Pelodiscus sinensis: one gene and its partners. The protein of the gene in region 1 purifies or fractionates together with the protein of each later gene. This does not show direct contact. Links are inferred from orthologs where the notes say so. Each region holds a gene or a part of one and is shown on either strand. Other genes may lie near its edges. The genes, in order: YAP1, RPS28, NF2 and PALS1.

Region 1 (7,633 bases):
CATAACCAAAAATTACTCAGCATTTTTGTTAACAGTTTTCATATCTGTGAATTGGTATTGGTTTCACATGAGCTTCAGAGATTTACATTATTGTTTTCTTAGGTTTAGATAAAACATTCAAAAACGCTTCTAGGTACCTTTGTCATATTTTCCATATTATGTTACCATCAACATAATAAAAAAAGAATAAATTCAATGGTCTCCTCAAAATCCACAAATGGAGGGATGGGGGAGAAATGTAATTCAAGTTACAGGCCTTACCACAAGTCTTCATTTTCAAAAGTTTAGGAAAAGAAGTTGGCTTTGCAGCATATTCTGGAGGTCAACAATATGGGTTATTTCAGCCTGGGGGGAGGAGATGAATTCCAAAATCCAGGCCTACATGGAGAAAAGCCTGCCTAAAAACAGGTTCAATTTCTGAGTTGATTTAAGGTGGTTTTATGTAGCGTGCATATGGGAAACTCATCTTGAGGTGATAAAGGTATGGATCATACTTGCAAAGTCTGCATCCAAAAGAAATAGTAGCAATGTCTTAGCCAGACATAGATGAAAGAAAGCTGTCTTGGTCACTGTTGCTATATGATCATCTAACAGCAGCTGAGAATCTAACATAATGCCCCTTCTGAAAACTGGTGTAACAAATGGTAGACATGCACCCTTAATTAAAGAGGCAAACATAATCCTCACTATATATTTTGGCTGAATGCTTATTCTTAAAGCATGATTTCCTTTTCATCTGGACAGAGGTTCAGCCAATTAGCCCAATCTCTACCAAAAATTGGCTGGATCAGATAAAATAGAGATATAGAGCTTGGAATCATTAGTATAATGAAAACACTGTGTCGTCCCATGCCTTCTTGCTAACCCTTCTAACGGCTCCATATGGATATTGAACAAAAACATTATAATGATAACTTGGTAACACTACTGTCAGTGATGAAACTATGTAATTACAGAAAGCACTGTGATAAATTGGTACTCAATATGTTCCAAAACTACTTTTCAATTTTTAATCTTCTGACTTTTCTAGACTTCTGACTTTTTTAGACTTTTCTAAACTAATTCTAGATTTTAGGAATCATTACACCTGTGTATATGTATTTTAACACAGATTTTGGCAGTCCAGAGAAAGTGGGGGAGGGAAATACTTGAATTTTTGTAGTAATTGTATGTTTCTGAACTCAGAATAGTTTAAGAAGTTTACATGATTTGCATATAACCAAATTTCAGCATGAGGAAACCTGAAATATTTGATATTAAATAAAGACATTTCTTGAATGCTAACTCAGACTTAATTACAGCAGTGTTAATTGGCACCACAAGCACAAGCTTATTTGCTAACTCTTAAAATATATTGATAAATTGTTACACATGTTTTGGAGATATGGTCAATAGTATCATTATATATCGTAGGTCACACATATACTATCTAAAATCATCACCAGATTATCTCAATTTTTTTCAAAGACAGCAGTTAAAATGATCCAGTTCTAGCATCACTAAGTCAACTGAGTGTCTCACAAACACCACGGCTACGTCTACACTGGTCCCTTCTTCGGAAGGGGCATGCTAATTTTGAACTTGGGAATACGGAAATCCGCAGGGGGATTTAAATATCCCCCGCGGGATTTAAATAAACGTGGCCGCCGCTTTTTTTCCAGCTTGGGGAAAAGCCGGAAAAAAGCGTCTAGACTGGCGATCCTCCGGAATAAAGCCCTTTTCCGGAGGATCTCTTATTCCTACTTCAAAGTACTTTGAAGTAGGAATAAGAGATCCTCCGGAAAAGGGCTTTATTCCGGAGGATCGCGCCAGTCTAGACGCTTTTTTCCGGCTTTTCCCCAAGCCGGGAAAAAAGCGTCGGCGATGTTTATTTAAATCCCGCGGGGGATATTTAAATCCCCCTGCGGATTTCCCTATTCCCAAGTTCAAAATTAGCATGCCCCTTCCGAAGAAGGGACCAGTGTAGACGTAGCCAACCTGTTTAAACTTAGAACTGCAGATAGAACTGATGCTATTCTTAATTTGTGTATAAGCATCCAAATATTATGGTGGTGAAGCACTGAAATATACAGATAGTACTACTCTTATCTAAAACCAGATAAATGAAAAAACAAAACAAAATACATCTAAGTGAACTAAAATGACTTTAAAAGGCATTCATAACACAGTGTGAAAACTCTGCCTGATTTAGATTAGATTGTATTTCCTAGTTCCGGTGTTTTGAACAATATTACATAATTTTTTAATCCAGTAAACTTTGGATGGCCTGCTGTAGCCTTTAGGTCAAAACTTTAATTGAAGTCTGTTTTGCCTGAGCAAGGACTGCCATTAGTCTTTTTAAAAACATTCTGAAATCAAATCTGATTCACAAACATAGCCTGATATTTATCTTGAGTCTTAAAACTATAGATATTACTTTCATTAACATGCAGTAGTTCTTGGTATGTAAATACAGAGAAAGTTATTTTTGAATATGTAAATATTGGAGATGGTGATCAGATGCCTAAATGAATTCTGACTGGAAAACAGTCAATATGGCTGTGTCTAGACTACAGGGTTTTTTTTGAAAAAAGTGGCCTTTTTTCTAAAAAACTTCATCTGCATCTAGACTGGCGCCACATTCTTTCTAAATTAAATTGAAAGGACGCGGTGGTTTTTTCAACAGCAGTAAACCTCTTTTTAGGAGGAAGAATACCTTTTTTTGAAAGAGCTCTTTTGAAAAAAGGCGTTCTTGACCGCAAATAGGGCTTTTTCGAAAGAGAGCATGTGCCTGTCTAGATGATCACTTTTGAAAGAAGCTTTTTCAAAAGATTCTTTAGAAAAAGCTTCTTTTGAAAGAAGCACGCAGTCTAGATATACCCTAAAAGAAAATATTTATGGCCCTGCTGAAGTTAACACAAGATTTGCCATTGACTTCAGTGGCTGTATGATCAAATCCTTATTCTTTAATCATTTGTAATATAGTCTCTAATTATGCAAACACTTATGTAAATTAATCTTTACATATTAAACAGAACTACTGAATTATATAAAGTTATTTACCTGTACAAATGTTTGCAAGATTCGTGCCTTAAAATGGCCATCTATTCTAATATTAACTCCATATTGTCTGCAAAATTATCACAATGCATTTTGTAGATATTAACTGATCATAAGAGTAATTGAATATAAGAATTCATAATGTTCAAATAGGCTGTTTAATATTAAATGATTGTAGTATATATATAGTTTGTTGTTAATACTAGAATTTTCCTCTCCTCAGGATGATGATGGTATGTGCTATCCTTCAACCAATAGCCATGAACAGACATTTGCCTACTTGATTGTGGATCCCCTGAAACGACATATTCATGTATTGTACCATTCTTTTGGTGGAGGCTTATTTTTTAAGTGACTATTCTTAATCTCCAGTTCTATATATTAGTGGTATAATGGAATGGAGGAGCTCTTCTTTCTGTATGGAATCAATTAACACTTTCATAGTTCCATTCCCTTCAATGAAATATACATTGCCTGCCTACACAAAAATGTGACCTACAATATACATTTAACATAGTTTTTTTGAATTATTATCAAGGGATGTTTTATGTTCACAAATTATAATTACATATAAAATGTTTTTAAAAGCTTTGTTACATTGATTTTAAATTGTAAGATTCAGATCCTGCAAACCCTAATGCTTGTACATACTTTTACTTAGCCCCTTAGAAGTCAATGAAACTAATTGTGCATAAATCTAGGATTGGGGCCATAGTGAGTGCATCATATTATCTGAATGCGGCTTGCAGTAACTTGCATAGAACTCAAAAGGATCCATTAATCTTGCTTTCCCCACCCCCACATTGTTACCTGTTGTGTTTCAAAATCCTCAAACATTAAAACTGTTATTCTCCATCTTTTTTCAAAAATGTTAACATTTTATTTTATATAATTAGTTAATAAATAATAGTTGTGTTATAGGCTTACAGGTATGTATTAAGCAGCATGTTGAATCAACCTCGAGTGGGTGTATAGTAAGTTAAATTGACTGAATTGTTTCCATTGGACTCTATATCAGAAAGGTGATCAATCCCCATAGTAAGCTCTGACTAGAGAAAAATCTGTTTTGAATGTAACTGTATAATTTACCCTACCAGAAACGCCACTTTAGTCGTTAAAATTAGTCTCCATAGTGGTACTTGGAGGGTGCGGTTAGGTTCCCTTGTGAGAAGGAGGGTTTCAGCTCTCCCCACCCCCTATGGAGACCAGAGATCCAATTTCTTTCTTCTCCGATTCCCCCTCCCCACCTCTATCTAATTCCGTGGATAGAATGGGAAGCAGTGAGAAGCCACGTTTCTCCCGCCCGCATTCAGGGGAGGAGGCCCTCGCCTCTCCCTCCCTCTCCCGGGGGCCATGGCTGGGAAAAGTCTCCGCCGACCCCCTCCCCGTTCTGGGGATAAAGCGTCTTTCTCCCTCCCCATTCCAGCGCGGAGGTCGCGGGGGGAGGGGCGCAGCAGGAGGCTGGAAGTTTGGAGGAATTTATTTTAAACTTTTCGATGCATGGACTTCAGCATTGAAGGGCAGCGTGGCGGGCGGGAGTAGAGGATTAAAAAATGAGGCGGGCGGTTGCGAAAGGGCTGGCTCTCCGGGATGTTGCGCGAGAGGAAGTTTGCTCGCGACTTGGTGGCGGCCGCTGACTGCCAGATTCTATGCGGACGGGCGCATAAAGAACTGCCAGTGATAGTGGTACCCGGCTGTGACTGGATTCTGAGCGGGCGGGCGCAGTAGGACTAAAAGTTGGCTGCAGGAAACGGTGCGGGCGGGCTCCGCGAGGGGCGGAGCTGGCTGGGAGTGATTCGGGCGGGCACATCTCAGAACTTTTGTTTAGCGAGTTGTGCGAGTTAGTTTCCGCCGCCGGGACAGAGGGGTGGGCCGGGCTCCGGGAAGTTGCTGCTAGGTCGGGCTTGTTTTGCCCGTTGGTGCTGCTGGGCGTGGGGGGCAGAGCAGCAGAAGGAGCACCGGCAGGGCAATAGGGTATGTGGGGTGGAGAGCCCGGGATCTGAGTCGCTGAGCCCCGGTACGGACGCGGAGTCATGGATCCCGGGCAGCCTCAGCAAGCGCAGCCTTCAGCGCAGCAGCAAGCGCCGCAGCCGCCAGGAGCCCAGTCTGGCGCGGGGCAGCCCCCGGGCGCGGGGCCTCCTCCGGCCGGGCACCAGATCGTGCATGTGCGGGGCGACTCGGAGACCGATCTGGAGGCGCTTTTCAACGCGGTGATGAACCCCAAAGGCGCCAACGTGCCGCACACGCTGCCCATGCGGCTCCGCAAGCTGCCCGACTCCTTCTTCAAGCCGCCCGAGCCCAAGGCCCACTCCCGCCAGGTGAGGGGGGGACTCTCCCGCCTCTCGTGGGTGGGGGCGGGGCGCGCCGGGGCGTGTGTGTTGGGGGGGATATCGGAGAGCGTCCCCTTCAGTCGCCCCTTCTCCTCCTCCTGTGTGTGTGGGGCGGGGAACGCCCTCCTCCTCCTGTGTGCGGGGAGGGGGTGGTCTGTCCTTCGGCCCCCGTCGTGTGTGGGATCTCTTCAGCCCCCACTCGTGGGGAGGAGTGAGCGCCCCCTCATGGGTGGGGGCAGGGCCCCCTTGCACTCGGGGTTTGCCGGGGAGCTCGCCCCTTGGAGTCTTGTGGGGCAGCTCCCTTGCCCTTTTATGACGGGGGTGCTCGCTTCTTTGTGCCTATTTTTGGGACCCTTCGGGATTTTACTTTGGAAACTTTACATTTAGTTCGGCGCAGGAGTTACCAGTCTCAGCAGCTGATTTTTGCACTCACATTAGGCCCTGTCTCCGCCAGGGGCTCTCACTCCCCAGCTACCTTACTTGGGAGCCCAATAATTGCACTCTTGTTTCCCAGCGTGTGGGGAGGGGGGGGGGGGGAGAGAATTAACGGCCCTAAAATTATTCCTAAAAATGTTTCACTCGAAAAAACAAAAGGATTTGGTTCTCTAATGTAATAGTCAAATAGTTTGTTTATTTGCGTGGAGAGGGAGTGAGGAATTGTTGCCAAACTTAAAAAAAAAAAACAATCTGGATGTGGTTTTTCCACCATTTCATTATTGGACTCCATAGGATTGAATTTCCCACAGCAGAAACTAATTCTAGTGCCCATGGGTTTTTCTGTCCCTGGTCGTAGGCCTTTCACTTTGCTGAAGTATCAGTAAATTAACCATATCTGCAAATTGAATTGAAATAATTTAGCTGCTGCAGTCCTGTAATCTGAACACTCACGCTTTGTCTACATTGGCACGATCTTGCGCCAAAGCAGCCACTTTTATGCAAAAACATGCTGCCTGTCTACACTGGCGGGGAGTTCTTGCGCAAGAACACTGAACGTTCTAATGTGTGAAATCCGTGCTTCTTGTGCAAGAACTATGATGCTCCCGCTCAGGAATAAGCCCTCTTGTGCAACTGTTCTTGCGCAAGACACCAGTGTAGATAGGCAACATGAATTTCTTGCTCAAGAAAGCCCGGAGCTTTCTTGCACAAGAGAGCGTCTACACTGGCAAGGATGCTCTTGCGCAAAAGCACATCTCTTGTGCAAAGGCACATGCCAGTGTAGACGCTCTCTTGCGCAACTACTTTAATGCAAGAACCCTTGCGTTAAAGAGTATTTGCACAAGATTGCGCCGATGTAGACACAGCCCCAGGGTACAATCCTGCAAGTTTTTAGTACAAGATGAAAAAGATCTGCAGGATTGGCCCCATTATAAGTCCGTAGCAGAGTCTGTTCTTTAAGGAATTTGACTCTGCCAAGACGAAAATGCTGATACAGATATGACTAAAAGTTAATGTTTAGGCTGCTGTTACTAAATTTCTGTAAACTGCCTCTCGTATGTTTTTGCTAAGCAATGAATTTAGCTGATAAGTTATAAAGTAAGATATTATAAGATGGTGTCACTTTATCTAGATAGTCAAAAAAGAGATGTGCTGTGTATTTCACAGGTATCTGGTATTCCTGTAGTTAAGGGCCTGTCAATATTTCCATTATTAAACTCAGATTTGGCAGGATTTATAACTGTTGTAAAACATTTACTCAAAGCTAAACTTTGGCATATATCCTCTCAGCCTAGGAGTTAATTCATTTTCCAAAATTTTTAAAGGACTGCAAAGAAAATACAAAAGCCTTCGAGATGGGTTATTTCTATATTCTTGTAACTTGTCAGAAATACGAATTATTGGTGGTGATTTGCATAGGGTTTGTCCCATTTAGAATTGGTGGTAATAGTGCATGTGAACTCTGAGATCTGAGGAAAAGCACAGTTCTTAGAAATATTTTTACTATACACGTTTTTATCATGCTGTTTTATGCACAAAGGTAAACTTCTGTGTATTCAGCAATAATTTTCAGATAGATGTATATTGTTGAGTATATATTAAGGCCACCGTAAATGCAGCTCAGCATATTACATATTTGAATTGTGTTATATGAAGTACACCTTGTTAATACTTACCTGTATAACATACACTTTTAAAGCTTGGGTGTGGTGCATTTCAAATGTTGTTAGAGCATACAGTGTAACTAAAATCTTGATGCTGTCTGGTTTTAGTACAATATATTTCAATAAATCATGGAGTTAAATAAAACCCAGTGGAAATCATGCTCT
Region 2 (6,851 bases), on another chromosome or scaffold:
TGTTTCTTTATTCACCCTCTCCACACCACTCATGATTTTATATACCTCTATCATATCCCCCCTAAGTCTCCTCTTTTCTAAACTGAAAAGTCCCAGTCGCTTTAACCTCTCTTCATATGGGACCCATTCCAAACCCCTAATCATTTTAGTTGCCCTTTTCTGAATCCTTTCTAAGGCCAAATATCTTTTTTGAGGTGAGGAGACCACATCTGTACACAGTATTCAAGATGTGGCCGTACCATAGTTTTATACAGGGGCAGTAAGATATTCCGTGTCTTATTTTCTATCCCTTTCTTAATAATTCCTAACATCCCATTTGCCTTTTTGACTGCCGCTGCACACTGTGTGGAAGTTTTCAGAGAACTGTCCACGATAACTCCAAGATCTCTTTCCTGATTTGTCGTAGCCAAATTAGCCCCCATCATACTGTATATATAGTTGGGGTTATTTTTTCCAACATGCATTTACACTTATCCACATTAAATTTCATGTGCCATTTTGTTGCCCAATCACTCAGTTTGGTGAGATCTTTTTGAAGTTCTTCACAGTCTGCTTCTGTCTTCACTATCTTAAACAGTTTAGTATCATCCGCAAACTTTACCACCTCACTGCTTATCCCTTTCTCCAGATCATTTATGAATAAGTTGAACAGGATTGATCCCAGGACTGACCCTTGGGGGAACACCACTAGTTACCCCTCAGCATTCTGAAAATTTACCATTTATTCCTACCCTTTGTTTCCTATATTTTAACCAGTTCTCAATCCATGAAAGGACCTTCCCCTCTTATCCCATGACAATGTAATTTACACAAGAGCCTTTGCTGAGGGACCTTGTCAAAGGCTTTCTGAAAATCTAAGTACAAGCAGTCCCCGAGTTACACGGATCCGACTTATGTCGGATCCGCAGTTACGAATGGGACTTTTCTCGCCCCGGAGGATGGGAGCGTCGGGATGCCCAGATGCGCCGCGGTCCGCTGCCCCCGTCCTCCGGGGCGAGAAAAGCTGCTCCCCGTCTCCCTGGTCTGCAGGGAGATGGGGATCAAAGCCTTGGAGCACGCCCGCAGCGGGACTGCCCAGGCGCGCGCTTGAGCTGTCCCCCTGCGGGTGTGCTCCAAGGCTTTGCTCCCCGTCTCCCTGTAGACCAGGGAGACGGGGAGCAAAGCCTTGGAGCACGCCAGCAGCGGGACAGCCGCGGCGCGCCTGGACTGTCCCGCTGCCCGCGTGCTCTGCGGCTTTGCTCCGCGTCTCCCAGGTCAGCAGTCCAGGGAGACGGAGCAAAGCCGTGGAGGACTTGGGCGGTCCCGCCACCCCCGTCTCTCTGGTCTGCTGGGGGGGTGGGTGCAGCTAGTGCCCCCCCCCTCCAGCAAACCAGGCTTTTCTTGCCTGCCCCTGGGGTAGAGCAGCTGGGGGCTGCCGGGTTGGTCCTGCAGCGCCGCTCCGGACCAACCCGGCAGCACTCCAGCTGCTCTGCCCCAGGCGTCCTGATTCAGCCGCTGCTGGTCAGTTTCAGCAGCGGCTGAATCAGGACGCCTGGGGCAAAGCAACTAGGGTGCTGCTGGGTTGCTCCAGTAGCGCCGAGGAGCCGCTCTACTGGAGCAACCCAGCAGCACCCCAGCTGCTCTGCCCCAGGCGCCCCCAAGTCAGCCGCTGCTGAAACTGACAAGCGGCTGACTACAGGAAGCCCTGTTTCTTAAGTTGAATCTGTATGTAAGTCAGAACTGGCATCCAGATTCAGCCGCGGTTGAAATTGATTAGTTTCAGCAGCGGCTGACGCCAATTCCGACTTAAGATTCAACTTAAGAACAAACCTACAGTCCCTATCTTGTACGTAACCCGGGGACTGACTGTATACTACAGCTACTGGATCCCCGTTGCCTGCATGTTTGTTAACCTCTTCAAAGAACTCTAATAGAGTAGTAAGACATGATTTCCCTTTACAGAAACCATGTTGATTTTTGTCCAACAAATTATGTTCTTCTACGTGCCTGACAATTTTATTCTTTACTATTATTTCAACTAATTTGCCCGATACTGAAGTTACACTTACCGGTCTGTAATTGCCAGGATCACCCATAGAGCCCTTTTTAAATATTGGTGTCATGTTGGCTACCTTCCAGTCATTAGGTACGGAAGCTGATTCAAAGGATAGGTTACAAACCACAGATAATAGTTCAGCAATTTCCCATTTGAGTTCTTTTAGAACCCTTGAATGAATGCCATCCGGTCCCGGTGATTTGTTAACTTTAAGTTTTTCTATCTGTTCCAATACTTCCTCTAATGACACTTCAATCCAGGACAGCTCCTCAGATTCATCACCCTCAAAGAACGGTGCAGATTTGGGAATCTCCCTAACATTCTCAGCTGTGAAGACTGAAGCAAAGAAATCATTTACTTTCTCTGCAATGGCTTTATTGTCCTTGATTGCTCTTTTTATATCTCGATCATCTGGTTTTTTTAGCAGGCTTCCTGCTTCTAATGTACTTAAAAACATTTTGCTATTTCTTTTTGAGTTTTTGGCTAGCTGTTCCTCAAAATATTTTTTTGCTTTTCTTCTTACATTTTTACACTTGATTTAACAGTGTTTATGTTCCTTTCTATTTATCTCACTAGGATTGGACTTCCACTTCTTGAAGGATACCTTTTTGTCCCTCACTGCTTCTTTTACATGGTGGTTAAGCCACAGTGACTCTTTTTTAGGTCTCTTGCTATTTTTTTTTTTAATTTGGGGTATACATTTAAGTTGGGCCTCTATTATGGTGTCTTTAAAAAGTTTCCATGCAGCTTTCAGGGATTTGGCTCTAGTCACTGTGCCTTTTAATTTCTGTTTAACTAACCTCCTCATTTTTGTGTAATTCCCTTTTTTGAAATTAAATGCCAAAGTGCTGGACTGTTGAGGTGTTCTTCCCACCACAGGACTGTTAAATGTTATTATATTATGGTCACTATTCCCAAGCGGTCCTGTAACGGTTATCTCCTGGACCTAGACCTGATCCTGAACTCCACTCACAAATAAATGGAGAATTGCCTCTCCCCTTGTGGGCTCCTGAACCAGCTGCTCCAAGAAGCAGTCATTTAAGCCATTGAGAAATTTTATCTCTGCTTCTCTTCCTGAGGTGACATGTATCTAGTCAATATGAGGATAACAAAATCCCTCATTATTATAGAGTTCTTTATTTTGGTATGACACTGGTATGCATGTATCAGCTCCCGCCTGCTCTCCCACTGCGCTGCTGCCTCTATGGGAGGCAGCAGGGCTAGAGGGGCTCCAAGGTAGCCAGCACAAGCAGACTGATAGAGAGGCAGCTAAGAAGGAGGTGGGGGTGCATGTAACCCAATAAACCCAAGTGTATGGGTTCATTGTGTAACTGGGCATTCACCAATACCCCTAGTGCACATAAAAATAATTGTTCTGCAGCTGGATGGAAAAGATGAGGGGGAGCACTGGTGAAGACTCTTTCCTCAGTCTGTGTCCCTGGGGGGGTCCCCCCTCTTTGCGGTGGGGGGACTGCAGGGCCCGGGGCTCTCCACAGCACACGCCCCGAGAGCCCCCCCCCGCCGTACCTGCTGGCGATCTCTGTGTAGCGAAGCTGGAGCTTGGTCTGGAGGTCCCGCTGCAAGAGAAGGGGAGCGAGTCTCAGTCTGGGGCGGGGAGAAGGGCCCGGGGCGGGCAGGGAGCCCGGGCCGGCCCGCGGGACAGGGACGCGCCAGCCCCGCCTGCCTTACCCCGGCCGCCCAGTTGCGGAGCCGCTGGATGAGGCGGGTAGCAGACGCCATCTTGGTCGCTACGAAGGGCAAGCGGAGGATGCGCGCGCGGGGCCTGCCGGGAAAGAGCGACGCAGGGCACGCGGAGTCTCGCGAGATCTGGGGTTATATAAAGCCGCGAGGGGCTGCACCCCGCTCCCTCGATACGCGACAGCCGCCATGGACACGAGTCGCGTGCAGCCCATCAAGCTGGCCCGGGTGCGCGGGGCGGGGGCCGGGCCGGCGGGGGCGGGGGCGGGGGCGGAGGGGCCGGGCCGTACCGTACCTGGCTGACGCGTCTCTCTCCCTGCAGGTGACCAAGGTGCTGGGCCGGACGGGCTCGCAGGGCCAGTGCACCCAGGTGAGCGAGGGCCCCCTGCCCCCCCCCCCCCCCCCCCGAGCCGGCCCGTGTCGGCCGCACTCGGGCCGGCGTCCAGCGGCGGGGAGTTCCGTAGCGCCCCGCGCCGCCCCACTAAGCCGCCTTGGGGCCCATGTTCCCAGGTGGGGGAGGTAAAAGGGCCCCTACGGGCCGGACCCGGCCCCTGCCGCCAACCGGCCTGTGGGTGGGGAGCGCGCGGTCTGCCTAGTCCACTGCCCGCGTTGACTCTTCGCAGGGCACCCCCTTACACCGCGGGGGGGCAGGGAGCGAGGGATTTCCCTGCTCCCCCACCCCCAGGCCTTGATTGATGGGGGGGGAGGGGGAGAGACACAAGAAGTCTCCCACCACAAAGGGTCCGCCTGGAGGGAACTGCCAGCTCTTCAGAACAGCTGGTGGTTTGGGGGGGGGGGGCAGAGACGTCACATGCTTCCCCCCCCCCCCCAGCCTAATAGGGTTCTGTGGGTGGGGAAGCACAGAAGTGTCCTGGCCCTGCCTCTTGCACCTGTGGCACCAGGAATTTTTGAAGTGCGTGGCCCCCCCCATGTAAAATTATTGCCCACCCCTTTTCTACACCCTTGTCCTGCCCCTCCTGCGTCATCCAGCTTGTCCAAGCCTGTGGGGCAGCAGGAATATGAGTACGCAGAGCACGTCTATTGAGTCTCCGCTGTGCCTGGTAGGTTCGTGTTGAATTCATGGACGACACCAGCAGATCCATCATTCGGAATGTGAAGGGGCCTGTCCGCGAAGGGGATGTCCTGACACTGCTGGAGTCTGAGCGTGAAGCAAGGCGACTGCGCTGATCTGCACAGCATGGTAACTCATTTAGTTTTCAGCCCGTCCTCAAGCCCTTGTTGAAGCTTCTCTTGAAATACATTAAACCCCCAGCCAGGAACATTTTTTTTTCTTTAAAATGGGCTTCTGGGTAAGACACCCGTCTGAGCCAAAAGTACATGTCTGGGTTTTGAGACTCCTCTGTAGAGTTCCCAGGGCTGTTTGCTTTGAGGCCATAAGAATTTTAACACTGAGTATTTGATTCTTGTGCTTTCTTTTGAAAATGGGGGGAAAAAAATTGTTCTAGAGTAGAGATGTGAAAGGATAATTGGTATCCATCACCCTTAACATAACCGAGTGGTGCTTATTAGGGATGTTAAATATCAGTTAATTGAATAGTTGAGTAACCTCATGAATTCTTATTAGTTACTTGACTATCCTGTAGTCCCAGGGGGTGAGGCCTGCATCCAGTGTGTAGCCCACTCTTGAGGAGCCCCCTGACACTCCGCACTGCTGCCTCTGTATCCAAGGTAGCAGTGTGGGATGCCAGGCAGGAGTTGGTCCATGAGAGGAGTCAGTTTAAAAACCAGATCCCCTTGCAGACCAGCTGCCTGTTACTCCATGCAGCAGTGTGGGGTGGCAGCAGCTCCTGCCTGGGCGCAGTCTGAGCTCCTGGACTTGGCATGAGCTAGGCTGCCTGCCTGGCTCCTAATACACTTTAAATGCAGAGCCACAGCAGGAATAGGGCCTGAACTCATTGCAAGGCAGGACTGAACCAGGCTGCTAGTCTGCCTGCTAAAAAAAATTGGGGGGGGGGGGAGGGGGATATGTGTAGTTTTATAGCTTTAATTTAAAAGCTTTTGTTTATTGGTTAATCAACTATGCTATTACATCCCAAAATTGCTTACCAGTTCCATTTAAATTGTGGGGGCTGGAACAGTCCCCTGCCTGCCTAAGGCAAGGGGCTGCTCCAATGCTACAGGGGGCATGCTGTAGACGGGCTGCTCTGGCAACTGTAGGGCGTGGTGTACTCATTGTTTTACTGCAGATGTCTTTCCAGACATTTTGGTGGTGTTGCACCAGATTAAACCTTAAATATAACTGTGACTGTTCATGGTTGGGGGCAGCACTCTGGCCATGATTACTGTGTTCGAACTCAACTGTGAAGAATTGAGTTAGCAGTTGACATGTGACCATGACTGGTCTTTCTACACTAACTGCAAAATCCATAAAAAAAATTATGGTTGTTGCTTGTCAATTCATGAAGAACCAAGTTCATTGAATTTCCATTCAAATACAGTAACTTTTTATAATATAGACCATGTGAGTGTGATGGTTGCCCCTCTTTGCACACCTCAGAGGACGGAGCTAGTAGTTTTTAGGGATGTGAAAATGTAACCATGTACACCAGGGCTACTCAACATGCAGCCCATGGCCTGCAGTGCAGTTTGGGTTTACACAGGGCTCAACACACGGCCTGCCAGTGGGATCCTTTGAATGTGGCTGTCACTGGGAACACACTCCACAACAGCGAGTAGATATAATGGTCTTCTATTAAGCATTTTAGTAGTTTCTGGACCGTTGTTACTCGTTAAAAGTGCTATCATGGGTGGAAATTGGGTAAATACTGCATTTTATTAATATCAGCAGAACTGACTTAAATAGGGCCTTCATGTTGTGTAGTCTTGCCTTAATCTTTGTATTCATGCCTATCAATGTAAGAAAAGGTATTTGCATGTGTATATAACCACACTTAAGTTGCGGCCCTTTGCATATGCTGTATCATTGTGGTCTCCAGGGCTTCCAAAGTTAAGTAGCCCTGATGCACAAGGTTAACCAGTGAACCTGGGCTCATGGGTTAACATGCACGGTTACACAGGCAGCAGCAAAGGGTGGTAGCTGGGAGCAACCTAACCACTGCAGCTTTTGCTCCAAGTTGCTCTGCAGCCTTTTTGTGTG
Region 3 (7,054 bases), on another chromosome or scaffold:
GCTCCGCTCCGGGCCACGCAGGGTCCCCGCAGCAGGCGCCGCAGCGCCGGGTTCCCGCACACCCGCGTCGCCATCTTCGCGCTGCGGAGCCGCAGCCGGGCGCTGCGCGGGGCGGGCCGGGGGGGCGGGTCCGGGCGGGGACTCCCCTCCCCCCGCGCCCCTTTGCTCCCCCTGCCCGAAGAAGGGGCGCGCGAGGGCGCGATCCCTGCGCGGGGGGCGCAATTCCGTGCGCACCGCGTGCCCAAAGCGCACACGCCTGGGGCCGCAGCTAAGCTTGGACGAGGCAGGGAAGCGTAAAATCTCCCCCTATTTCAGACCCGGGCTGCCCCAGCCTCCGAGCCCAGAGCCCCCGTCCCTCTGCAAGGAGGAACATCCCTTATAGGAGCAGCAGGGTGGGTCTCTTTGGGGGCCCATCTGTGCGCCCTCACGCCTGCCTGGACGCTCCTTGGGGTAGAGACCCAGTTCCATTCTTGGTCCTGTTGGTCTGCAGTCCTGAACTGGGACCTCTTGGTTAATCGCCTTGGCCATGGAGCAGGGCAGCTGAATTTTCGGTTGTGTCATTTCTAGTCTCCCCCCTCCCCGCGAAAACACAATCTATGTGCGGGGAGCACGGAGGAGTTGACCCTACCCATCTCCGGTCACTACATGTGTATACAATATTTGATCTGTATTTATAGTGTGGCTTTTAAAAAAATGGTGTAAGCCACCTCGAATATTTTAAATAATAGCGGCGGGGCAAAAATATTAAAAAGAAATCAGCGTAAATGAAACGAGCACAGAGATGGAAAGGGACGGGAATTCACCCGGCGCTGAAAAGCGTATCCTGGTTCTGCACTCAAATGCCCAGGAAGGTGTGGGGAGAAAAACGCTCTTGGTTAAACATCCAATGAAGACCTCCCCATTGAAAAAAGGCCTCAAATATCTTAAATAAGAAAGGCTGGGCAAAAATATTGAAAAGCTATTGCCATAAATGAAATGGGCGCAGAGATGGAAAGGGACGGGAATTCACCCTGTGCCGAAAAGCGTATCCTGGTTTTGCACTCAAATGCCCAGGAAGCAGCAGGGAGAAAAACACTCTTGGTTAAACATCTACGAATGACCTCCCCATTGAAAAAAGGCCTCGAATATTTTAAATGAGAGAGGCAGGGCAAAAATATTTCAAAGAAATCAGCATAAATTAAATGAGCGCAGAGATGGAAAGGGACGGGAATTCACACGGTGCTGAAAAGCGTATCCTGGTTTTGCACTCAAATGCCCAGGAAGCAGCGGGGAGAAAAGCGCTCTTGGTTAAACATCCAGCAATACTCCCCCCACCCATTGAAAAAAGGCCTTGAATATTTTAAATGAAAGAGGCAGGGAAAAAATATGTAAAGAAATCACCATAAATTAAATGGGCACAGAGATGGAAAGGGAGGGGAAGTCACACAGTGCTGAAAAGCGTATCCTGGTTCTGCACTCAAATGCCCAGGAAGCAGCGGGGAGAAAAACGCTCTTGGTTAAACATCCAATGATGACCTCCCCATTGAAAAAAGGCCTCGAATATTTTAAATGAGAGGCAGGGCAAAATATTGAAAAGAAATCAGCATAAATGAAATGAGCGCAGAGATGGAAAGGGACGGGAATTCACACGGTGCTGAAAAGCGTATCCCAGCTCTGCACTCAAATGCCCACGAAGCAGCGGGGAGAAAAGCGCTCTTGGTTAAATATCCAACAATGACACCCCCCCTTCCGGAAAAAAGGCTTCTAGCTACATTAGGACACCCCTGACTCCCTCTTCCTGCTATTTCTAAGATCTGAAAACAAGGGGAGTTGTTGAAATCCACCGCAAAGGCCCAGACGCAGGAAACCAGACGTTGTCCCCCGTGCGGGTCGCTGCATTGCTAATCCCGTTTGGCAAGGAGGAGGCACGGTTTCCAGTCATTCGGAATATGGATTTTATGGGCCACCCCCACTTCTACAGACGCGCCGGGCAGCCGGCCAGGAGGATGCATTGCTGTCTGCATTCTTCATTTTCAAAGGTCCTCTAAGCCGACAAGTCACCTCCAGCCGGGGCTCCCTTGCTGTGCCGCAGGAGCGGCGTGGGGCGGATTTCGGGGTTACACGGGGAAGGGCCATTTGCGCGCCCTACCTTGCAAGGGTGAGCCAGAAGGAGGCTGACTCTGGGGGGGTGCAGACTGGGTCAGATTTCTAGGGAAGGACAAGTCAGGCTGCAGACAGTTGTTGCCTGGGCCACCTGCCTAGAGTACACTGAGAGGGGGTTCACCCCCCCCAGAGATGGCCATGGGATGGTGTTCCTGGGGGCGGCCCCCCACCAGCTAGATCCCCCCCCCACATAGGTACAATGCCCCAGATCACCTGCCTCCGCTCTGGCTAGGCCAGCGAGGGCAGCCAACTTTCTGTCAGCTGAAAAGGCAACCTGGCCCCGCCCCTTTCCTGAAGCCCCGCCCCTTTCCTGAGGCCCCGCCCCAGTACCTTCTCCAAGGCCCTCCCACACTCACTCCAGCCCCCTCCATTCCTTGCTTGCTTCCCCCCCCCCACTCACTGGTTTTCACCAGCGTGGGCCGGGTTACGGGAGGGGGGAGGGCTTTGGCTGGGGGGGTGTGGGCTGTGGGGTGGGGCTGCAGGAGGGGGCTAGGGCTGAGGGATTTGGCGTGGGGGAGGCGGGCCCCATGGGGGGGTGTTAAACTTATTTCTTAGGGTGTGATCCTTCCTGGTCGTGGGGGGGGGGGGAGGCAGAGGAAACAGCAGCGATTGGCTGGCGAGGGAGGACGACTGGCAGACAGGCAAAGCCCAGGGGGCGCCAAAGCACCGGGGGGGGGGGGCGGATTTCCCTGCCCCCTGTCCCTTGGGTGGGGTCTGGGGGCGCCAGGCCCAAAGCGAAACTGACGCAGATGGGCACGTGCCAGGGCTTGGGTGCTGCAGTGGGGCTCGGGTCCCGCCCCGATGGCTCCAGACCCCGCCCACACAGGTTCAGACCCCGCCCTGACCTCTCCAGGCTCCGCCCTGCTTGCTCCAGGCCCCGCCCAGAGGGATCCTGGCCCCGCCCACACAGGTTCAGACCCCGCCCTGGCCTCTCCAGGCCCCGCCCTGACATCTAAAGCCCCGCCCGGATGGCTCCAGGCCCCACCCTGAGTGTTCCAGGCCCCGCCCTCATGTCTCCAGGCCCCGCCCACACAGGTTCAGACCCCGCCCTGAGTGTTCCAGGGCCCGGCTCAGGCCCCGCCCTGACAGTTCCAGGCCCCGCCCATCGAGCCTGAGTCCGGGAGGCGCTCAGGCCGCCGCGAGGGGGCGCGCGAGCCCGCGTGACGCCTTCCCCGGCCCAGGCCCGCCCCCTCCAGCGGCCTCTCAACCAAGCCTGCTGGGGAGGCGGGGCGCGCGCGGCGGAGTGGCAGCGCCGCCGGCCAATCGGGGAGCGGCTCGCGCCCAGGCCGGCCGGGCGGGGCTGGCGATTGGCCGAGGCGGGCGGGCGGACGGGCGGGGCCCCGCCCCCGGGGGGGGGCGCGGCCAATGGCGGAGCGCGCTGGGGTTCGGCTGCGCCAGCTGAGGCCCGCCGCGCTCGGTGGGCAGGGACCGCGGGGCCCGGTTCTGAGCTCCCCCGCCCCGCCCCCCCGGGCTAGGCCCCCCCCTCGGGCTAGACCCCCCCCCGCGGAGCGCCCGCCCCTCCCCCCGGGCTAGGACCCCCCCAGACCCCCCCGGGCTAGACCCCCCCCGCGGAGCGCCCGCCCCTCCCCCCGGGCTAGGACCCCCCAGCCCCTCCCCCCCTTAGTCCCCCTCCGTCCTAGGCCCCCCGCCCCTCCCCCCACCTCCCCACCCTCCCCCCCGAGCTAGGCCCCCTCTACTCCCCCTACATCCCCCCCACCCTCCTCCCCTCCCCCTCTTAACCCCTCCCCCATAGGCCCCCGCCCTTCCCTTAGCCCCCCCGCCTCTGCCCTCCCCCCCTCCTCCCCTATAACCTCCCGCCCTCCCCATCCCCCCTTTAGCCCCCCCATAGCCCCCTCCCCCGTTCCCACCCCCATCAGGCCCCCCCCTTTCCTCCCCAGGGCTAGACCCCCCCCCGGGATAAGCCCCCTGGGTCAGCCCCTCTGCACTCCCTTCCCACTGCCCCCCCTCTCGGGCTGGGTCTCGCAGGGCTGCCCCCCCCCCACTCCGGCCAGGCCCGCTGCACGCTCGCCCCGCCCCCGTTGGCGAACCGGAGCCACTGGGGGCTGGTAGGGTGCCCCCCCGGGGACCAGACCCAGCTCACCCCGCCCCCCGCCTGCCCCTGGTGCCGGGCCTCGGGCAGCGTGTTGGAGGGGAGAAGTGGGATCTTGCCCTAATTCCCGGCACCCCACCATGGCCGGGGCCATCGCGTCGCGGATGAGTTTCAGCTCCCTGAAGAGAAAGCAGCCGAAAACCTTCACGGTGCGGATCATGACCATGGACGCCGAGATGGAGTTCAACTGCGAGGTAACAGCGTCCGCAGAGCACCACGGCCAGCGCCTCCGGATCGCTGCCGGCGCGGGGTTCCCGGACACCCTGCTGCCCGGCGGGCCGCTTTCGTTCCACTGTGGAGCGATCCCTGAGCCGGCCACGGAGACGCACCCACCCCTGGAGCGGACGGTGGCGGCGGCTGGGTAAAGCGCAGCACGCCACAGCTACACAGTGGGTTGGGACAGGCCCCGAGGACGGATCGGGGGGAAATCAAGGCAGGCCACATGTAGGTAGTTGGAGCCCTCTAAAAGTTGGCCCACTAATGGCTTGCCGCGTATTGGTAAATCAGAGCAAAGTGCTCCCGATAAAATCCACTTTCTGCGCGCTGCTGCATCCCGGCGTCCAGAGATGGGGAGTTGCTAGCCAAAGACACACCCTCTAGAGCAGCGTCTCTCAACTTTTTTTTTTTTATAAAGTACCCCCTTCAAAAAAAAAAAAAATAAGTATCCCCGATACCTCCAGTTTTATAAATAAAATTTAAATCACTGGAGATTGCCTATCTCCTAGAACTGGAAGGGACCTTGAAAGGTCATCGAGTCCAGCCCTCTGCCTTCACAGCAGGACCAAGTACCATCCTTGACAAATATTTGCCCCAAATCCCTAAATGGCCTCTGTGAGGATTGAACTCACAGCCCTGGGTTGAGCAGGCCCATGCTCAAACCACTGAGCGATCCCTAAAAAAAATTTCCGACACACAATTTCAGACAGGTACAGATGTGGTCTCCTCACCTCAAAAAAGATATTTTGGCCTTGGAAAGGGTTCAGAAAAGGGCAACTAAAATGATTCGGGGTTTGGAACGGGTCCCATATGAGGAGAGGTTAAAACGACTGGGACTTTTCAGTTTCGAAAAGAGGAAACTGAGGGGGGATAGGATAGAGGTCTATAAAATCATGAGTGGTGTAGAGAGGGCCGATAAAGAAAAGTTATTTATTAGTTCCCTAAATAGAAGAACTAGAGGACACTAATTGAAATTAATGGGTAGCAGGTTTAAAACTAATAAAAGAAAGTTCTTCACACGGCGTGTAGTCAACCTGTGGAACTCCTCGCCAGAGGAGGCTGTGAAGACTAGGACTATTATTAGAGTTTAAATTGAAGCTAGATAATTTCATGGAGGTTAGGTCCATAAAAGGCTATTAGCCAGGGGATACAATGGTGTCCTTGGCCTCTGTTTGTCAGAGGCTGGAGAGGGATGGCAGGAGACAAATCGCTTGATCATTGTCTTCGGTCCACCCTCTCTGGGGCACCTGGCGCTGGCCACTGTCGGCAGACAGGATACTGGGCTAGAAGGACCTTTGGTCTGACCCAGTACGGACGTTCTTATGTTCTTAATTTTTTTTCTACCGTTGCAACATTTAATCGTCGCCGGGCAGGCGATGAAATTTTTGGATGTCAAATAAGGACACCCATAGTAAAACGCTGTGAAATTGAAAACAACGATTCAGTTTTCTCCAAGTTTCAGCAGCGTAAAAAGTCTACAGAAAAGAAAGCGCTGTAAAACTTAAAACGCAAATTCAGTTTTCTCCAAATTTGAGCAGCGTAAAAAGTCTACAGAAAAGAAAGCGCTGTAAAACTTAAAACGCAAATTCAGTTTTCTCCAAATTTGAGCAGCGTAAAAAGTCTACAGAAAAGAGAGCGCTGTAAAACTTAAAACACAAATTCAGTTTTCTCCGAATTTCAGTAGTGTTGATGTTCCCCTCCCAGACTTCTCTCGAGTACCTCTCAGGATCCTTGTACCACTGGTTGAGAAACATCGATTTAGAGTGTCTCCGGAGACACCAACGTGTTTGTAGCCAGAGATGGAACATCCACGTTTCAGTTTGAATGTTCTTGGATCTACTCCCTGCCACCTGCATCTGTTCCGGGTAGGCAGCTGTGTTCGTAGATGGCGCCACTTTTCAGAGGTCTGCATTGTAACGCCCTCGTTAATCTGCCATGGAAGCAGGAAGGGTTGGGGGGGATCTGGGCCCGCCCACTACTCTGGGTTCAGGTCGAGGGACCAGGGTTTTCCCTGTAGTCCAGTGGTTCCCAAACTTTTTGGCATCACGCCCCTTCCCCCCCCTCCCCAAAATAGCAGTAAAACTTGTTGAGAAAAAAAAAAGGAACTGAGCTGAGGGCGGGGGGTGAAAAACAAAACTTGCAGCAAAACTTGTTGAAAAAGAAAAAAAGATTGCCCTGCCCTTTTAAGAACAGAACAGGCATTGCTCTTTTAAGGTGGCCATTGTGAAATCTGCCCCAGCCAGCCCGAGCTGCATGTGTTCCGGCGGCCAAGCAGACAGACAGACAGACGGACTGGGCTCTTTCTTGAGGGGGAGGGGCAGGAGAGGGGCAGGAGAGGTCTTCGTGGAGGGGCAGGAGAGGTAAAGACGCAGCATCTGAGACAAGGAGTGAGTCGGGACACACCCGGTCCCTTGCTGCATCTCTGCCTTTTAAATGTAGTAAGAGCCAGGCAGGACTTTAAAAGGCAAGGCCCGGAGCTAACCCCACTGTGGCTCTGCAGGTCTCCCCTTATCGATTAATCGAGTAGTCGATGGAAATTCCATCGACTACTCGATTAGTTGATTAAACGGACTTTAACATCCTTAG
Region 4 (7,985 bases), on another chromosome or scaffold:
TCAACCAGCAGCACTCTCAAGCAGGCTTCCCTGCCTATCAGCAGCCCCCAGATGGCTGTTCCATGTGGCTCTCCTTGCTGGGGGATTTTTTGGCCCATAGGAACTGAGAGATTTTGCTGGGGGCTGGAGCAGTGTGGGAATCCTCCCCCGCTGCTCCTGCAGCACAGAGAACCACAGGGAGCAGCTAGCCTCTTTGTGGGGGCACTGCTCTGACCTACAGGAGTGAGTGGGATGGATGGGCCTGATTAAAAGACTTGGGAGGCCAGATCGGGCCTGCAGGCTGTATCTTGCCCCCACTCTAGGGGCTGACTTGCCTATGGTCAACTTACTTAAACAAATAGTGTTGCTAACATTGCATCCTGCGGTGAGGTATTCATGAAGAGGACATCTTCAATTGCTGAAGGTGAAAACTTTTCAATTTTTTGGATAATTTAATGAAGTACGTCTCTGCCAAGAATCTTATGAATGTGCTGCACGCTGGATAAGGCTAACATTAATGCTTTCTTAGGGTTATGGATCAAAGCTGAGATCCAGAAGGAGCAGCGTGGTTACCAAAGAAACAAACAGGTCTTCCACTAGATATCTGGAGACTTACATATCTCAGAATTAACATGGTCTGCTAATCCATACAGGCAGAGAATCAAAACACTTATAAGGCTACGTCTACACTGGCCCCTTTTCCGGAAGGGGCATGTAAATTTCATGAGTCGTAGTAGGGAAATGCGCGGGGGATTTAAATATCCCCCGCGGCATTTAAATAAAAATGTCCGTCGCTTTTTTCCGGCTTTTAAAAAAGCCGGAAAAGAGCGTCTACACTGGCCCCGATCCTCTGGAAAAAGTGCCCTTTTCCGGAGGATCTTATTCCTACTTCAACGTAGGAATAAGAGCCTCTGGAAAAGGGCACTTTTTCCGGAGGATCGGGGCCAGTGTAGACACTCTTTTCCGGCTTTTTTAAAAGCCGGAAAAAAGCGACGGACATTTTTATTTAAATGCCGCGGGGGATATTTAAATCCCCCGCGCATTTCCCTACTACCACTCATGAAATTTACATGCCCCTTCCGGAAAAGGGGCCAGTGTAGACGTAGCCTTAGATATAATTATAGGAAGAGAAAAGACAAAAACAAAGTTGGAGGCTGGTGTACACATTTGACTGCTTAGTGAAAAGCTGTGTACTATACACTCACTGAACCTGCTCTTGGACAGCATCAAGAAGAAGATGCCTGCCATCTAGAAGAACTACACAGACAGAAGGCTGAACTTCTGCATATTTGTGGGCTCATAGGACCTCCCTGTGTAAATCTTGGATACAAAAGACAGTGATCAAGCTGGATGACTCTGATTTAAGGGAGGATGGAGTCTCTGCATCCAGTAAGCAGTGTTTTATTGCTAAACGTAGACAGTTAGCCATTGTGCAACTTTCATGCAAGCATCTGGGTTTAAGAAAGTAATTTGTGGATTCTTACAATAGCTGCCAGTAGTGCTTGTAAAAATGTGGATCTAGATCATAAAAGGCCAGCAGAAACGTCCACCTCTTTTCCTACTCTGCCATAACTGGTCACCCTCAGTCTGCTACTCCCCCTGTCTGTAAAGAATGCAGAGTAGTTCTGCAGTCAGCCTGAATTTGGATTCCATTATTCTCCAAATGCCTTCCCTTTCCCCTTCATTTGATACTCGCACTCCTGCTACTAATCAAAGTGAAAATGCTTGGTTTGGTGTGCAGCTATAACATATGGCAGAACAAAAAATGGAACACAAACTGGTAGAGCATAGCCTTAAAGGCACTCAAAATCTACAATGTAAAAAGGCTAGAAACTAGAGCTTATTAATCCTTCTGTGGAAAGGTGCACACGCTGTTTGGCAGGGTCCATATTAATGGAGGATTAGCTGGCCAGTTTATATGCCAAGAAACGAAAAAGAGGTTTGAATCTGAAGACACACTGGAGTATATAGGTTTCAGAAAAAAAACATACATGGAAAATATGGACAGAATGTGTAAGTATAGGCAAGAGACTAAAAAGTGGCTGGACATCTATATGAAAAATTACACAAAGCATTCAGTGAACATGCAGCAAAGGAGAAAAGATTTAAAGGGGCAGGTGTCTGCTGATTTTTTTTTTTTTTGGTGGTCCAAGAAACATTTGCTGACATTACTGTGTCCTGAGCCACCCTCTACCTTGGTACCTCCTATCTAATCACTATCCTAACTCTCAAGATATGAAGATTATAAGATAATGTGCCCCTTCTGTCCCAAATCTTATTTAGACACTCATCTCTTTATTGAGAGTGGAAAAGGGAAACAGTCCAATACATTAGTTAATAGAGGAAAAATGAGGAGTGTTAAATTAGCAAAGAGTAAAGGGCTACGTCTAGACTGGCATGATTTTCCGCAAATGCTTTTAACGGAAAAGTTTTCAGTTAAAAGCCTTTTCGGAAAAGCGCGTTTAGATTGGCAGGATGCTTTTCCGCAAAAGCACTTTTTGGCCACGGATGCTTTTCTGCAATCTAGATGCACTTTTGCGCAAAAAAGCCCCGATCGCCATTTTCGCGATCGGGACTTTTTTGCAGAAAACAAATCTCTGCTGTCTACACTGGCCCTTTTGCGCAAAAGTTTTTCAGAAAAAGACTTTTGCGCGAACGGGAGCAGCATAGTATTTCCGCAAAAACACTGACAATCTTACATGAGATCGTCAGTGCTTTTGCGGAAGTTCAAGTGGCCAGTGTAGACAGCTGGCAAGTTTTTCCGGAAAAGTGGCCAGTCTAGACACAGCCAAGCTGTTTAGTTTTGCCAGTATAACTGTGTCTATACTAAGTACTCTTGCCAGCACAGGCATGCCCATCACAAATCACAGCTCATCAGAGATTGTAGTGTAGAGCTAGCTTACACTTTCTTACATAAAACTGGGATGGGGGATAGGAGAAGAATGTGTTGGTTTTGCTTTTACTTGAAAGCTAGTAGTTTTTGTTAAGTTTAGAAATTGAATAAGGAAAAGTTATTTACTTGCTCCAATAACATAAGAACTAGGGGTCACCGAATGAAATTAATAGGTAACAAGTTTAAACAAACAAAGGAAGTATTTCTTGATGCAGCATACAACCTGTGGAAATCCTTGCCAGAGGATGTTGAGAAGGACTTTAGCACAGTTCAAATAAGAATTAGATAAATTCATGGAGGATACGTCTATTAATACTTATTAGCCAGGATGGGTAGGAATGATGTCTAACACTGTTGGTCAGAGGCTGGAAATGGGTAACAGGAGATCGATCACTTGAAGAGTCCCTGTTCTGTTCAGTCCCAATTTGTACCTGATATTGGCCACTGTTGGAAGACAGAACACTGGGCTAGATGGATCTTTAGTCTGACCCTGTATGGCTGTTCTTAATACATGTTAAACTGAACACATGGGCTGTGTCTAGACTGGCCAGTTTTTCCGGAAAATCAGCTGCTTTTCCGGAAAAACTTGCCAGCTGTCTACACTGGCCGCTTGAATTTCCGCAAAAGCACTGACAGCTCAGCTTTGTTTTCCGCAAAAAAGCCCCGATCGCAAAAATGGCGATCAGGGCTTTTTTGCGCAAAAGTGCGTCTAGATTGGCACGGATGCTTTTCCGCAAAAAAAGCACTTTTTGCGGAAAAGTGTCCGTGCCAATCTAGATGCTCTTTTCCACAAATGCTTTTAACGGAAAACTTTTCCGTTAAAAGCGTTTGCGGAAAATTATGCCAGTCTAGACGTAGCCATGGATTTAACCCTGTGGACTGATTTGACTATGTGGCTCAGTTGCTGCCTGGATCCCTTTTATGATATCTACAAAGAACAGTCCCTGCAGGGAACATGGTCTTCTGACTGAAAATACATTGATCGTGATATATCTTCCCTTTTTTTTCAAATATTTTAATATAAATATTAAAACAAATAATTGAAGCCCAAGCACTCACCCAGTGTCCTTTTGGCCTGGGATTGCTGCACATAGCCAAACTGCAGTCTTGTCTTCACTTGTTAAGTAGTCTCTTAGATAATCTAGTCTCAATAGGTTACCATAGCATAAGTGACCCATCTCTATCTCTTTGTCACTTGTTTCTGGCTGTAGCAAACTGTCTCTCAGTCCATTCTTCTTCCTCTCTATGAGGTTGGCCACTGGATGGTTCTCTCTGATCCACAGGGATCTGAGTGTTGCCTCTACTGGCTCATGACTGTCTCCTGCACTTGTCCCTCTTGCATAACCTGGGTGCCATTGCATCTCTTCCAACTTCACTAGTCCCTTCCTTCTGGGGTTTCTCTATTAGCTGGATTCTAACGGTAGTGCCTGTCTGCAAAACTGGTACGTCCTCACTGGCCTATAATCTGGTGCCTCCTTTCTCTGACTAATGGTCATCTCCTCTTGAGAGTATCCCCTTCCTTCTGGCTGCCAAAGTGCTCGACTAACTGGTGTCGGAACTTTTATTTATTTATTTATTTATTTATTGGTCTTTGTCCCGTCAGGGCTTGGGCTGGGCTGGTTGGCGACCACGCTGGGGTATAACTGTGGGTGTTAGCTAACCAGCGGCTCCGGTCCCACAGACAGCCTTGCGCAGGAGTCTCTCACAATCATCCGTGAGTCGTAGCTTGTGGCTACTCTGCCCTTCTCACCAGCTCCACTGAACACGACGCAGGCGGCAGCAGAGGCATGACGCAGGGGCACGAAACCCTGCAGCAGGCGCGAGGGACAAAGCAAAGGACAATTCAACCGGCGGCCCGTTGCTGAAGGAGCTGTAGGCCGAAGAGCTACGCACCCCTCCCCGCCCCCGAGCCCCTCCGCAGCGAGCACCAGTCCCTCAGCCGCCTGGGCAGCAAGCGGGCGCGCGCACCCCAAGCGCTCAGCCCCTCCAGCCAATAGAGACGTGCGTCTGCAGAAGGCGGGCGGGGCGCGTGCGTGCGGCCGGCCGTTGGGGTGGGGCCACGGCTGGGGGGGTGGATCGGGCGCTGCCGTGAGGTGTTTGTCTCCTGGTATGTGGCTGGGGCGGCTGCGCAGCTCCGCGGGGTGAGCGAGACGGGGCTGTCTCCGGTGTCTCCGGGCTGGGCGCGAGGGGTGTAGAACAAGGCGCTGCTGGGCGCGTCCGTGCGGAGCGGCGGCAGCAGGAGTAGGCAGGTGAGTCCGCCCCCCACTTTGTGATCGACTCCCCCTGGGGGGGGTGGTAGGGGCGTTGGGTTCCGGGGGGAGCTCTGGTCCCAGCCCCCGCTGCTGCTGCTGCGCCTCGGGATTTCCCAGGACGGGAGGCGGGCGCGGGGCGGATTTTGCTCCCCCCCTTCCTCGTGAACTTTGGTAGGGTCCCAGCGGAGCTGCGGAGTGACCCGTGTCTGTGCAGTCGGGGGGGGGGGGGGGTGCGTGTATCTGGGGGGGCCTTGCCGTTTGCGTATCCGCCACCTTCCCTGTACGCACTAGGGGCCCGATCGTGCAGCGTTTGCCAACATAAGGCTTGCTCGCCGGTGCAACCATTGCAAGTTTCAGCCTTTAAAGGTGCGTTAATAAGGCTCCCCGTGTTGAGTGTTGTCTTTTACTTTCTGAATGTATTTATTTTAATAATGGTCTGTACGTACTTCATCATCTGTTGGGCAAGCCAGCGTTTGGAAATCTTACTGTGAAGAGATTGCTCGGTAGAGATTTATGGGGCTTTGCAGGATTAAATTAAAGTGGCTTGGCAACCAACACATTCAAGGTTGCCCAGTAGGCATTGATCAAACTATTGACTAAATATCAGTGAATTACACTGATGAGACTGTTACGGTAACGTTTCGGATCTCGCTAATCGACGGATCAGAGTAGGAAGTGTACACCTAAGCAACAAGGAAGACAGTTCCTGTCCCAGAGATATTACTTTAGAAAGAGTGGCAAAATACAGCTTGCTGATTTTATTAGAAAGCTGACAGCAAGTAGAAACTCTACCCAAATCAGTCACTTACAAGGTATCCTCACTGTTTTGAATATACAGATGGTTTTTTTGTTTGTTTGTTTACAAAATTACTAAAGCTACATAGCTGAAAGAGATGGGAGTGAAGGATGAAACTGTTCATTTTTGCTTCCTGTTTGTGTGGGTTTCCAGTCAACAAGAGTAATATTTTTTTAAAGGTAGGAAAATCTGGTTATAAAAACAAATGACAGGGATGTGAGAGAAATTGTAATATCCAATTTAATTTTAAAATGAGCCATCAAAATGTAAGTTTCAAAATGTGAGTTACAATAGTTTTGAATTCTGTGATGGAAGCAAATGTTGGATTTCATACCTAATGGTGCCTTTGAAGCAGGGAGACTACTATTGTTTAAAAGCACTAGTTAATGAGCAATTTTATTGTATCTCTAAATATATTTTCTAATTGTTAAACCAGAACCCACTGACAATGTTTTGTTCATGCTTATGTGAATTTTTCAAGTTGTTGCAGAGGCTTAGAACTAAACTAAAATTGCAAGTAAATCCTTAAGTTCTATTAAATGCACAATGAATACTATATAGTTTTTAAATCAAGTGCATTTTTATGATAAATTTAAAAATCAGTTTGTTGAAGGGTCACCAAAGATAACCAAAATCTTTGAGGAAATACTTTGTTAAATGCTCTCAACATTTTTTTATATATTTTTTTTATTTGACCTCTGAAGTAAAAGCATGTGTCCCTTTTTATTGCATTATGTAATGTTCTAGGCAATCTTTTGTTTGGAGCCTAGTAAAGCAATTCTGGAATGATAAGAGTCAGAGTGGTAGTCAAAGATCTTGAATCTGAATGCATTGCAACTGCCTGTTCTTACTGATTTTGATTTTAGGGTATGCCTATTCCACAATGGCACAGCTATGGTGCTGCAGCTTTCCTGTTGTTGAACCATGGTCTGTCGATTGTAGATAGGTTAACAAAAAAATTCTTTTGTTAACCTAGTGGTGTCTACACTGGTGATTATGTCTACTTCTTACATTGAACAGGGCTCAAGTTTTTCATAGCCCTGAGCAGTGTAGCTAGGGCAATTTTTTTGCCTTTGTTACACATTGGAGCTCCTTTGTGAATTTGTCCTGAACTCTGATAAGCAGGTGTGTCTCATACATAGCTGATACAATTGAAAAATCTTTGAATACAAGTGAAATATCTTCCTGAGACACTGTTCTTGTTGGCTGGCTTCTTGAAAAGCATTACATAGTGACTTGGACATGGCAGTCTCCTTCCATTAGGAATGAAAATGCAAAACTGCAATCCTTCATAATTCATTTTTGTACAGTTCTAGTATTTAATGTGTTTCTGGCGATGGTGCTATTTCATCTTGGTTACTCCTGCTTTGGGAACATCAACCAAGGTTTTCAAAAGTGACTAGTAATTTTTCAGTGCCTCAATTGTAGTGTATGCAACTTCAGACACTTTAAAGGTCTGCTTTTTTTCAGAGGGTGGATGTACCACGCTTTCTTAAAATCGGACCTCTTTAAGGGGCATCATGTGGCACACCTGAAATCATGGTGGGTAAATATAAATGGTTTTAAAAATATTTTGATTAAATAATTTAAAAAATGGATTTTTATATTTTTTTACTTTGTTTTCAAATGGAATATTAATTCAATGCAAAATACACCAAGGCTTAAATTATTTCTTAAAACATTTAAATAAAAATGTGTTAAATCCATGAACTGCTGTCAAACTTAGAGATGAAAGCTGTTTTTTCTCTATAAAGAAAGGTGTTTCCCATTATTTAAACTTTTGAGGTCAAGCTTAATAAATATGGCACAGTAGCTCAGCCAAAATAATTTCGGAGATTGTTTCATTGTCAAGAATATTAGGCAATGGGAATATAAATGCTAGTAACTTTCACTTAGGCATACTTAAAAATTTTCCTCGGCTTATATGAAACAATCAGTTTGTTTAGTTTAGAAAAGAGAAGATTGAGGGGGGACATGATAGCAGTTTTCAGATATCTAAAAGGGTGTCATAAGGAGGAGGGAGAAATCTTGGCCTCTGAGGATAGAACAAGAAGCAGTGGGCTTA

Evidence for each region.
Region 2: the proteins of YAP1 (region 1) and RPS28 purify together in Homo sapiens (affinity purification with mass spectrometry, with the first as the bait; 3 studies listed by BioGRID). This does not show direct contact. The link is inferred for Pelodiscus sinensis from reciprocal best matches to the Homo sapiens genes YAP1 and RPS28.
Region 3: the proteins of YAP1 (region 1) and NF2 purify together in Homo sapiens (affinity purification with mass spectrometry; 7 studies listed by BioGRID and IntAct, with this or other methods). This does not show direct contact. The link is inferred for Pelodiscus sinensis from reciprocal best matches to the Homo sapiens genes YAP1 and NF2.
Region 4: the proteins of YAP1 (region 1) and PALS1 purify together in Homo sapiens (affinity purification with mass spectrometry; 6 studies listed by BioGRID and IntAct, counting the BioPlex papers as one, with this or other methods). This does not show direct contact. The link is inferred for Pelodiscus sinensis from reciprocal best matches to the Homo sapiens genes YAP1 and PALS1.

The regions. Positions count from the first base shown.
Region 1 is NC_134711.1:304,437,289-304,444,921, forward strand, and holds the start of YAP1 (transcriptional coactivator YAP1), read left to right. Parts: upstream 1-4,613; 5' UTR 4,614-5,072; coding exon 5,073-5,357; intron 5,358-7,633. UniProt on the Homo sapiens protein: Transcriptional regulator with dual roles as a coactivator and corepressor. Critical downstream regulatory target in the Hippo signaling pathway, crucial for organ size control and tumor suppression by restricting proliferation and promoting apoptosis.
Region 2 is NC_134729.1:25,093,904-25,100,754, forward strand, and holds the start of RPS28 (small ribosomal subunit protein eS28), read left to right. Parts: upstream 1-3,850; 5' UTR 3,851-3,922; coding exon 3,923-3,961; intron 3,962-4,055; coding exon 4,056-4,103; intron 4,104-4,798; coding exon 4,799-4,921; 3' UTR 4,922-4,934; intron 4,935-6,851. Other genes in the region: NDUFA7 (NADH dehydrogenase [ubiquinone] 1 alpha subcomplex subunit 7), read right to left, coding at 3,563-3,612, 3,725-3,775. UniProt on the Homo sapiens protein: Component of the small ribosomal subunit. The ribosome is a large ribonucleoprotein complex responsible for the synthesis of proteins in the cell. Part of the small subunit (SSU) processome, first precursor of the small eukaryotic ribosomal subunit.
Region 3 is NW_027465935.1:549,729-556,782, forward strand, and holds the start of NF2 (merlin), read left to right. Parts: upstream 1-4,054; 5' UTR 4,055-4,332; coding exon 4,333-4,446; intron 4,447-6,172; exon of another isoform or gene 6,173-6,267; coding exon of another isoform or gene 6,268-6,372; intron 6,373-7,054. Other genes in the region: NIPSNAP1 (protein NipSnap homolog 1), read right to left, coding at 1-74. UniProt on the Homo sapiens protein: Probable regulator of the Hippo/SWH (Sav/Wts/Hpo) signaling pathway, a signaling pathway that plays a pivotal role in tumor suppression by restricting proliferation and promoting apoptosis.
Region 4 is NC_134714.1:72,830,355-72,838,339, reverse strand, and holds the start of PALS1 (protein PALS1), read left to right. Parts: upstream 1-4,968; 5' UTR 4,969-5,121; intron 5,122-5,371; exon of another isoform or gene 5,372-5,490; intron 5,491-7,390; exon of another isoform or gene 7,391-7,462; intron 7,463-7,985. UniProt on the Homo sapiens protein: Plays a role in tight junction biogenesis and in the establishment of cell polarity in epithelial cells.